Xenopus tropicalis: one gene and its partners. The protein of the gene in region 2 interacts with the protein of the main gene of each other region in a pairwise test. Links are inferred from orthologs where the notes say so. Each region holds a gene or a part of one and is shown on either strand. Other genes may lie near its edges.

Region 1 (4,032 bases), on a different chromosome or scaffold from region 2:
AGCAGAACATTCAGCTGACCAATACCATGATTATTTGCAGCTATGTTGATCTGGAAGTACCTGGGCCCACAGGAAGAATTATGACTGATGCCCCCAAAATCACCTGTGTTACCAGAGATCTGTGTCAGTAGCCACTAGCCAGCATGAGATTTAATTGTCCACAAAAGCTCCAGCCGCCTATAATGTTAGTTATCATTAACACATCATTATATTAAGGGCCATTGATCAACCAGACAAAGTACTGAATGCATTTTTCTTAACAAAGTATTACAGTGATGTACAATCATTTGATGAAATTTGGCCCTTTAAAAACTTTCTTAATAATACATATATATATATATATATATATATATATATATACTGTATATCTATACATACATACACACAGTATTTACCATGCTGTATTTTGTGTTCCAGAAGCTAACAATCTTAGGAAGCTTTGATTAGCACCTCAAAAAATTAGCTCTCAGTAGGTTTCCAGGCATTACAAACTGGTCACTAAATGGACAATGTTGTACCTGTGGCACTGTTAAAAACTCAAATATAACAAAAACAAACTACTTTGTTACCTGTTTACTGGTACATCTTTCTATTGGCTGCAGGAGAATTGCACTGTCAAAAAATATTCATACTACCACTAGTTTCTGAATCCGATATCCAGAAACTTGTTATCTAGAAAGCTCTGAATTAAGGTAAGGCCATCTCCCATAGACTCCATTTTATTCAAATAATTCAAATATTTCCTTTTCCTTTGTAATAATAAAACAGTACCTTGTACTTGATCCTAAGATATAACTAATCCTTATTGGTGGCAAAACAATCCTATTGGGTTTATTTAATGTTGAAATTATTTTTTAGTAGACTTAAAATATGGAGATCCAGATTAGGAAAACCCCAGGTCCCGAGCATTCTGGATAACAGGTCCAATACCTGTACATGTGGGGAAGATTTACTGAAATGGTAATATTTCTAATTTTTTTCATTTTAAAATTTGAATAAACTCGTTTCCATGAATTTCTTACATTCACTAAAAAGTCTGAACTGAAAAATTCTGTGCGGGAAAAGTTGCAGTAAAGTCTGAAAATTCAGATTTTTTTTACTTGTCCCAAGAAAACTGCAACTTTTTCTAATTGGCACCCAAAAAAACAATGTCAAAATTTCGGAAGCCAAAGAAGTATCCTCCAGGGAAGGGACATCTGCCAGTGACTTCTACACAATATTGGCAAGTTTTAGCTGGTGAATTGTCTTATTTGGATTTTCAGCCTTTTTATGCATAGAAAATCTCTGACTTTTTTCCCCTGAAAAAATTCGAATCAGAAAAAAAAAAAAAATCAGACAGTTAATAAATGGCCCCCTTAAAGTATGGTGATCCAAATTAGTGAAATTGTGGATAACAGAAAATGTCCCTCATTTATTCTTGGCATAGCAGACACACTAGTGGGGGTCATTTATAAATACTGGGCAAATTTGCATCTGGGCAGTAACCTATTGCAACCAATCAGTGATTAGCCTTTTTCATACAGCTGCAGATTAAGCAGTGAAAGCAAATACCTGATTGGTTGCCATGGGTTACTGTCCAGGTGCAAATTTCCTCAGTCGGTTTAAATGACCCCCAGTTCTGGACTACATCTAGAACCATGACGCTTACAATGACTTCTGACCAGAGATGTCACATCATTTCTTTTCTGTGTTTTTTCACAAATGATTTTATCTTTTTGGCACAAAAATCTATATGAAATGGCTAGGCTAGAGATTTCCCCAGTCTGTCGTAAGAACGCAAGCATGCAAACTTGTTTGTGATTTAAATTGGAAGTGATTCTGTTACTGATACTACTTTTGAGAAAAGAACATCTAATCAGCCAAAGCAGCACAAACTTTACCCAAGCCAATATGTACAGTTTCATTTAGGAGACAAATGGTAGGTTTTTACAACTCAGTGTATATTCCCCAGACACAAGAAAGATTTGCAAAGATTCTTGCTGCTTTCCCAACGGCTGAAACGTATCCTCCACTGAAACATCAGTTGTTAAATACTTAATGAAGCAGCTTTAAAGTCTCACATTGAGGCATCAGAGCTTCTGCTCTATGAGAAGAACTATTAACCCTTTGTTTGCAAGAAACAGCATGGGATAAAGAGTACAGGAGGTTTCTTCTGGAGGTAATTAAACTCCCAATTAAAGAACCCTACCTGATTTATTTGAAAAAAAAAAAATACCACCATGTACACCATACACACGACAAAGGTATACAAGGATTAGTGTAATCAATGCATGATTCTATAATTACTAAAATAATAACTGCTGCGTTCCTATTTTGAACAAAGTGAATATTCTGTTTTCATAACTTGATGTTTCATCATTCTCTAATACAAATATAAGATTCATGGAACTATAGGATACATGGAAATGTTTATACCTAGAAAGTAATTATGAAGATGAAAGACTAAAAAGTTTTAGGTCAAGGCCTGGAATGCGCCCGCTGCTGCCAAGTAAAGGGTTAATAACAGCACAGACATGCTAGGGTGGGAACGGATTACAGGTGTGGGAAAGGCGACGAGTGACTGGACTTACCAAGGCTTTACCTGAACTTAGTCCTGTGGTATTTAGCCCAACCAGGGAAGGGAGAGTCTGGGACATCCAGTTAGAGATCATTGCCATGGTGCAGAGCACAGCACCAAGTGTGAGGAACGGAGAGCCCATAGTAGGAAAGCTACTGAGTTTTCATAGTAACTGAATCAGCACCAGAGATGGAGAGAGGGAGGAGTAACGGCTGAAAGCAGCAAACGGCTTCCAACAGGAGGATGTGCCTAAAAGGCTACACACTCAGTGCACGCTGACACATTCATCTCATTAATCTCACATGAATATACAGGACTTCCCATTTCCCATTAAAAGCTCATATTCTGGTGTTTCCCTGAAATACAAATGCCTATAGAGCAAGGGGCAAAATGAAACTAAAAAAGTAGGCTTTCTAACTTTACTCAGCTGCTCACTGGATAAACACGGGGCTGATTATATCAGCAGAACAATATGCTGACCCAGTTTCCTTTTCTGAAGCAATCCAGTAACCCATTTCATTCTTTTCATAGGGCAGCTGAATGTATGGTAAATGAACATTGGTACCTTCTATGTTAGAATAGCAGCCCTGGATAAACAGAAACCCCTGGCTATGAAACATATTGGATGGAATTAATGATGGCACAGCTGATAAAATGAAATCTAAGCCTAGTGGCTGGCTAATTACTTCTCATTTAAGCTCAACACATAAATTAGAAAATACAAGGCCAGTTTTAGGATAGGGCATAAATTACATTTGCTTTTGGCTCCCACCATCAAAGAGGATTTTTGGAAGAAATAGATAAAAGGACTAAAGACAACTAATATGGTGTAATAATTGCTGAATAATGTAGTACACAGGGATGTCCAACCTGCTGCTCATTAGCTGTTGCTGAACTGCAGCTTCTGAGCCTCATTGATTGCCAAAGGTGTAAGAGTAGTTGCATGTGTAGCACAACATGGTATAGGAACTCTGGCTTCCCATATTCTCAATACACTTGCTTCTAACCTTTCATCTAATTATAATTTGGTACCGTGTCTAAGTTGTAAAGATTTTGCACTATACACACTGCATTTGCCTTTGTAAATGAGCCCTGAATAAATTAAAAGTAAAAGTAGAAATGGAGGGGGACAACCAAATCATAGAGGATTGCCAGTTAGATAAACATAACAACTATTGGGAAATGACTGCTTTTGAGACTATATACAATAATCATTAAAATGCTGAATAAAAATACAATTCTTTTTAGAGAAAGCATGCACTGCTGAAAGTGTAAGAGCTTTATTCTCTTTGTTCAAACTACTGTTCAAACATCTGCCAGTCATTGAATATTTCATGGAGGCTGGCTGGCAAAGAAATTAGTGATTAGGGTGGGGGCCCCTGAGGTTGCAGCACCAGTGGGCCCTGGACACCCCAGTCTAACATTGAGGCCTAGTGACCCATAAAAACATATTAGCAGGTAGAATGTAATGGTCA
Region 2 (2,977 bases):
CTATGTAAACAGTGTAATTTAGGAATATAAAATATACCATAAAAATCATGACAGTATCCCTTTGAAACAGACTCGGCAGTTTATCTGCCCATGTACGGGGCCCTCCAACAAGCCTCCACAACCACTATCTGGCCAAATATTGGCCAGATGATGTTCGGACAGGCTTTGTCATCGGGTCGGGGACAACATAGGCTCATTAACACACTACGATTTTTCCTTTCCCCTTTATTGCAATGTGAATCGTTTGGCCCTAGGGGAAATATTTGCTCATTTGCCGTCCTTCCCAAAGGAGTAAATTGGTGTATTACAGCCACAAGAATGATTGGCTGGTTTCCTCCCACATTCCAGGAACACACAGGCAGGTGGTTCCTGAGAAAATTCCCAGTGTGTGAGATAGGGACGTTAGATTGTAAACTCCACTGGGATGTGAGTGACATTTAATCTCTGTACAGAGTTATAGGAATAAATGGTAAGGGTGTGAATTGAGCCAGGCACAGCAGTACAGCGTAACTCCTTTAATGTATGCATCTGTACTGACGGAAGGGCTGCCACACTCCTCAATGGCCACATACATATCAGAGACACTAGAACATATTTACATGGACTATGTACAAAGTAAAGCCAAGGAGTTCAAATCCCGGGGTGGATACATTCATTGCTGCAGATGTGCATTTGGTGTAGTTAGGGCTGAGTCAATACAAATCCTTCCATCTGCAGCTTCGGGAACCACAATCTAAAGGTTTTTATGCGTTTCATGCATTGCACTGCCTGCAGCAGTTAGTCGCCATACCGGACAAAGGGCACCGTTTAGCCCGGACTCTTAGTTCACAGCCATTGTATATAATTTGCCATACTAAGCCAACATCCTGCAAAGCCCACACTGAAGGTTCTGCTGTGCTGCTTTTAGTGTCTTGCCAGCAGAGGGTGCTGTTCCACGAATCACAGCTGCTGCAACGCAGCGCAAATGAACCAATGCAGGGCGGGTTGAGGACTTCACAAAAAAGAAAAATTCAACGTTGAACTCCACAGTCAAGCAGCTAAATAAGAACACGCTATATTCGGCTGGCAAAATATTGGCATACAGAAGACATCACGGGCTTGTTCATATACCACTGTAGCCCAGTCTGAGAGTTGTACTAAATACTTCTAGGTGTGAGATGATGGCTGGCAGAGTGCATGCTGTGTCGGCAAACAAGTCATCACCAGAACATAGTTCTTCAGCCCTTAAACCACACAGCTATAAAATACTCTACTGGAAGTGGAAAGGAAATGAACCAGGAAGCCGAAGCAGGCAAGCGTTCCACTCGCTAGAAGGTTACCGCAGTAGTGAATCTGGGAAAAGCACACAAACAAGAGACTGGGAATCCAGGGAGGTCCGGAAGAGTAAGGACCAAAGCAGCAGACTTGGGTTGCTGGACCTAGAAGAGACTACTGGCAGAGGGCTCAGAGACACAGGGGAGGAGAGTAAGGCTTAAGGCTGGACAGGCACAGTCTGTGACACAAGAGGAGTAGGACTCTAATGGCAATGCCAGGCTTCTGCAGTCTTCCCCATGATCAATAGTCCTCCACCCAGCCATTCTCTGATATGAACGCATCAATGACCTCCTTCATGGCCAGGTTGGGGATGAGCTGGTCTTGAGTCAAAGGGCTTCGAGTCACTGGATCAAAGTGGCCGACTCTCTGGTTAAAGAATAAACAAGTGAGACTGGGGCTGGCACACATACATGTCCTGAAAGCTTTGCAAGTGCCTGTATCACTGTGCTGGCAGTTACAGCAGAATGAAACCCCCCCAGTGTATATATGAGCAGCTGATGCTCACTTCCAATAGCTGCACATCTGCCAATTTCAGCTCTTACATGTGCACATAAATATAATTCATCACTATACCATGTTCTGAGATGTCAAATTGTAATATACTGGTCTGGAATTATCTGCCCCACACCCACTGCTAACCCACCCCCATTACCTGCCTCCTCGGAGACACACAGAGACACAACTTGCAGGGCTGGAGTAATCTGTTGGCCCCAACCCATAGGCAGGCCCATGCAATATAAATATCCTTTAATTATTCTATTCTGAATGGACTTTTCCAAGATCTGTCTTAGTGAGATTATTATGAATCCTGAAACAGGGGAGTCACTGTCCCTTCAGAGTTTATCACAATTGGGTTGGGGCCCACGAGGGCCAGGGCCTGCTGGGTTTTTACCCGGTATCCCCACAGAACAATCTGGCCCTGTCCATCTACACCTACATCGTTCCTTCATTCCAACATTTCCCAGCCCTCCCTCCCATACCGCTCCCCATATTACATTACCTGAAGATGCTCCTCGATGTCTTTCCTATCGTACGTGATGCCGCTGGGTGTTATGCAGGGTTCTCTCATAAGCTCAAAGCTGATCTTGCCGCACAGGTAATCTGGGATATCTCTCTTCTGTTAAGAGAAGGACCGGGAGAGCTTAGAATAAAGACAACATCATGGCAGCTCTACACACGGCTTTTCTCATTTCTTATAGCTGCCAAACCCAAGCTGGAAACACGGATATAACGGAATACCGGTAACTCTAGGAGGCTGAAAAGGAAAGCTCTGGGCCCTGTATGAGCTATGACTGCTGTCGAGTATTAAACACTCACCTTTCTCTTTTCATCCACTTGAGAGAAAAGCTCCTCCATCTCAGCAAGATGCTTGTCCTAGAGAGCAACAAAAAAAAAAAACAGTGTTGGCGACTGCAGCTGTACAGTGATAAAGATGTTCCCTTTATCCATAAAGATGTCTTTCCTCACCAGGACCCCTCTCTGTGCAGAGTGTGATTTCTGCTCTGTAGTGTTCCAGGGAGCGGGACTTCAGCTGCTACAGGGGCACTGGCTGATAGGGTAACTCACCTGCCACTCAGAGCACAGATCACAGCTGTACAACATGACAAGGCCTCAGCTGATACAACCAATAAACCAGCATCCCTTATATATATTAAGCGGGGTG
Region 3 (3,989 bases), on a different chromosome or scaffold from region 2:
TTTGTGGGTATATCTTAGTGACACATTTTTAATGAACACTGGAATTTTATTACAGCTTTCTCATTCTTTCTCAAAATAGTGTAAAAAATTCCTCTGTAGTTTTGCAAGGGCTATTGTAGATTGTTATATTCTGAGTCAAGAGATCTTATAAGGATGGCTCGCTTAAAGGCTAAGGAAAGTCATTTTGGCAATTTACTGCCAATAGATTCTCCACTTTAGTGCCACCTAGAACGCTATATTTATTCTGCAGAAAGCATTACCATACCTGAGTAAAGATTCCTAGAAGCTTTCTCTGTTTTCTGTGCAGCTGCCATTTTAGCTTGGGTTCATAGCTTCCTGCAGTAGATCTAGAGGCTGATAGCCCATATTACACATTCCTAAGGATGGGGGGAATAAGTTTTATGTATTCTTATGGGAAGGGGGAGCAGAAGGGAGAGAGAGAACTAAGCCAACTCAGGGCCCAGGAATGAAGGATTTTTTGAGAGAGGAAGTCAGATACCCTAAGAACATGTTTACAAAAAAGGAGACAAGAAATCCTGTGTTTCTTTTGATAGAGGACTCTGTGAGTCCTTATGGCTGTATTTACATAGACCTTTTTGATAAAGCTTACTTAGTTTTTACCTTTTCTTCTCCTTTAAGTATTTGTATATGGTGTATGCTGGTGCTTTATAACAATGTTGAAAAAAATACAATGTTAATATATTCTTCTCTTCATGTAACAATTCATTTCTTTTATGGTTAAAAATAAAACTAGGAATAATCTTTTTACCTCTTTACAGTAGGCAACTTTGGACCTGGTCAGTAACCCATAGCAGCAAGTCAATGATTAGCTTATTTAAACAAGGAGTAGGTAGAACAATGAAAGCAAACATCTAATTTGTTGCCATGAGGTTCTCTACATTCTACCCTAATTTGCTTTCCTAAAATGTATTCTGCAAAGTCATCAATAGAGAAAGCATCAGTTTATAGACCCTTTACCCCCTTGGGAACTTGAGAAGGCTACAAGTTAAGTTTACCCAGTTTATGAGAGAGTGCCCTGTCATTGTATTGTCATGCAGAGATGCCAGACATTTCCATCACAACTACATGTGTAATTTCCATTAATAGAATGCTCATTCCATCAGCTAAAAATAACCAGCTAGCTCTTCATAAAGCCGCTGCACCTTCCAGACCCTCAGAGCAACCACAGGCCGAACAGAGTAAAGAGCACTTACTAGCTGGCACAGGTCTAGAGAAAATGTCAGAACGCAGAATACCATTCTCCTTCCTCCGCACTCCAAGCTGGGACCCATTTCGGGACTGGTACCAAGGCACCAGTCGCCTTTTCGATCAGTCATTCGGTATGCCACGTATTCCCGAGGACTGGTACCAATGGCCCAGCACCAGCTGGCCAGGCTATGTTCGCATGCTTCCAAGCCAGTCCATGGAAGTTGTCCCCCCCACCACACCTGCTGGTGCAACTGCTCCTGACTTTAATCGTGCCCTCAGCCGCCAGCTTAGCAGTGGAATCTCAGAGATCCGTCAGACTTCAGACCAATGGAAAATCAGCTTAGATGTCAACCATTTTGCCCCAGAGGAGCTGGTCATAAAAACTAAAGATGGCATCGTGGAAATTACAGGTATGGCATGGCTAACCTCATATACTAGCAATAATAGTATAACATTCTACATTGATTATTTTAAAAAATGCCTTTCACATACTGTTTTGCTGTATAATTCCAACACACTGCATTACCACTTCTAATAAATGCACTTAGCAGGGCTGCACTGGTTGCAAAGTAATTACATTTCCCTGAACTTTCAAGCAATTTTGTAATCGATTTTCAAGCTCATAGGACAAAGGACACCTAGTTCCTTACCATAGCCTGGATACAACATGATAGAAAAGTTAAACAAAAGCCATACTGAGACCATCTCCAAGAGGTGACTTCCTTACCTATGCAGCTCTGTCATGCCTAGAATGAAAAGGCACACTCTGTTTTCTGGTACAAAATCACATGTGACGGTTGTCTCCTTCATTGGGCACAGCTACCCCTGCTAGCTAACGTACCTGCCTCTCACCTCGGAGGAATAACCCATACCTAGCTAGCCTAACCAAGGACATCCAGCTCCACCTAGGACTGGGCTCTTAAATGTCCACCTTGAAGTTTCTAAGGCCAATGCGGCACTTCCTTTATCTCTACCCTGTAATACAGTTTATTGGGTCCAAGACCTACCCCTACTTAAAACTTCCCAAATCAATTCCTAACTATGGCCAACCTACTCTACTGCCAGCAGAATCATCTGCCATATATACTGGAGGTAATTTATATAGAATTTATGTAGACCTAGAGCAGAAGAGCAAGTGCACTTAGGGGCACAACAGCATGTCCCTTCTCCATTTTTGCCTTAAAATGCAGCTTCATAAGCCAGTCCTATCATCACAGCCTGGACAGGTTGTAAGGAGCACCATTGCAGTTAGCATCTGCCTTCACTCCCTAACTTGTGTGCTTGAATGATAAACAAGTTAGGGGGCAGTGGGAGTAAAACATTACCGGTGCTGCTGTTCATAGCAGCCAACCAGATGTTTGCTTTGGTTTAAAATCTAATTGCTGATTGGTGCCCTAGGCAATGTCACAGTTAGTGTTTCAGTCCACTTTTTACACATGATAAATATTTCCCCTAGTTTGTTACCCATTAAAATTATTATGCAGTACTGTAAGGGCCGGATTTATAGATTTTGCACGCCTAGCCCTGCTCACCACTTGCTTCCCCTTCTCCACGCCACTGCTGTCTATATATATATATATATATATATAATATATATATATATATATATATAAGTCACTCTGCAGCATTGCAGCTACAAATAGCTAGGACTGAAGTATTAAAGGACAGTATTAAAGAGGAATCTCATGAAACATTTTTTTTGTAAAGTAATTAAGCTTACAGTTAGTTATTTTATATAATGACATTATTTTGCCTCTCTATCATGTCCTTCTCCTTCAAGTTTTGGTTAGTCACACACTCACAGAAAAAAGGCAATATTGTTGTGCACAAATCATAATAATCATACGATACTTCTGCAAATAGAAAACTTGATCATCTCTATTTCTGCCTCAGCTCATTTTTCCAACTCATTTTTAAAACATATCCTATGGTCTATTTAACACACAGTAAACTGTAGAAATGTAATGGGGGTGGGGGAGACCACACTGAAACTGTGGTATGGGTGCTGACAAATTTCACATAGAGCAGCAGGTGGCAGCGATTACAATAGTTATATATAACTAGGGGAAGTAGAGGAATCATATTGTTAGATAATAGGTTTAATTTATGAATGCTCGGGGCAAAAAGGGTCACAGAAGTTCTCATAAAAATGGCATAACCAATGTTCTTGCACCTACTTGCATTCATCTCAATTTGCCTTCCATCTGGCAATAATGCAAATTGCTAGTGGGAAAACATATGCATCACTTTAGGTTTATGAAGTTGTTAAAGTTGCCTTGCAAGTAAACTATAGGCATTGAGGCATTTGGAGGAGATTAAAGGTCCACAATAACGATTTGTTGCAGGCGACTAATCTCCTCTTGTGCCATTGAGATTGGTCACTCGTGGTTAAATCTTGGCTACTGTGGGTGACTAATCTCTTTGAAATGCCTTCCCACAGGAAATAAAGTGAATAGCAGATGGAAAACAAAATGCTGCATATTTTTTCCCACAGGTTATTCATTATATTGCAAGTGGAAAGGCATTTTGGGGAGATTAGTTCCCTGCGAATAATATCCCTGTGGGCCATGGCCCTTAAGCAAGTCGGCTTGCTCAATAATCTTGAAATGGTTTCAACACAGTCCAGGCAGCCCTGTGCTGTAGACTTATCATTGATAAGCCTTAGAACACAAAGCTGGCATCAGATGCATTTATCAGTCGTGTTTAAGAGTAGAAAGAGACAAGGTTTATTAGATATGCCATTAGCAGCGCAAGTCTTTTGAGGGTAACTGGGGTATTGT

The links. The genes of interacting proteins can lie anywhere in the genome.
Region 1: the proteins of stub1 (region 2) and olfm3 interact in binary tests that used the Homo sapiens proteins (3 or more experiments, as listed by UniProt). The two-hybrid records come from large-scale screens. The link is inferred for Xenopus tropicalis from reciprocal best matches to the Homo sapiens genes STUB1 and OLFM3.
Region 3: the proteins of stub1 (region 2) and hspb1 interact in binary tests that used the Homo sapiens proteins (3 or more experiments, as listed by UniProt). The link is inferred for Xenopus tropicalis from reciprocal best matches to the Homo sapiens genes STUB1 and HSPB1.

The regions. Positions count from the first base shown.
Region 1 is NC_030680.2:109,189,359-109,193,390, forward strand, and holds the start of olfm3 (noelin-3), read right to left. Parts: upstream 2,801-4,032; 5' UTR 2,700-2,800; coding exon 2,571-2,699; intron 1-2,570.
Region 2 is NC_030685.2:14,826,212-14,829,188, reverse strand, and holds the end of stub1 (E3 ubiquitin-protein ligase CHIP), read right to left. Parts: intron 2,689-2,977; coding exon 2,632-2,688; intron 2,432-2,631; coding exon 2,315-2,431; intron 1,681-2,314; coding exon 1,555-1,680; 3' UTR 501-1,554; downstream 1-500. UniProt on the Homo sapiens protein: E3 ubiquitin-protein ligase which targets misfolded chaperone substrates towards proteasomal degradation.
Region 3 is NC_030678.2:94,196,768-94,200,756, forward strand, and holds the start of hspb1 (heat shock protein beta-1), read left to right. Parts: upstream 1-1,189; 5' UTR 1,190-1,237; coding exon 1,238-1,619; intron 1,620-3,989. UniProt on the Homo sapiens protein: Small heat shock protein which functions as a molecular chaperone probably maintaining denatured proteins in a folding-competent state. Plays a role in stress resistance and actin organization.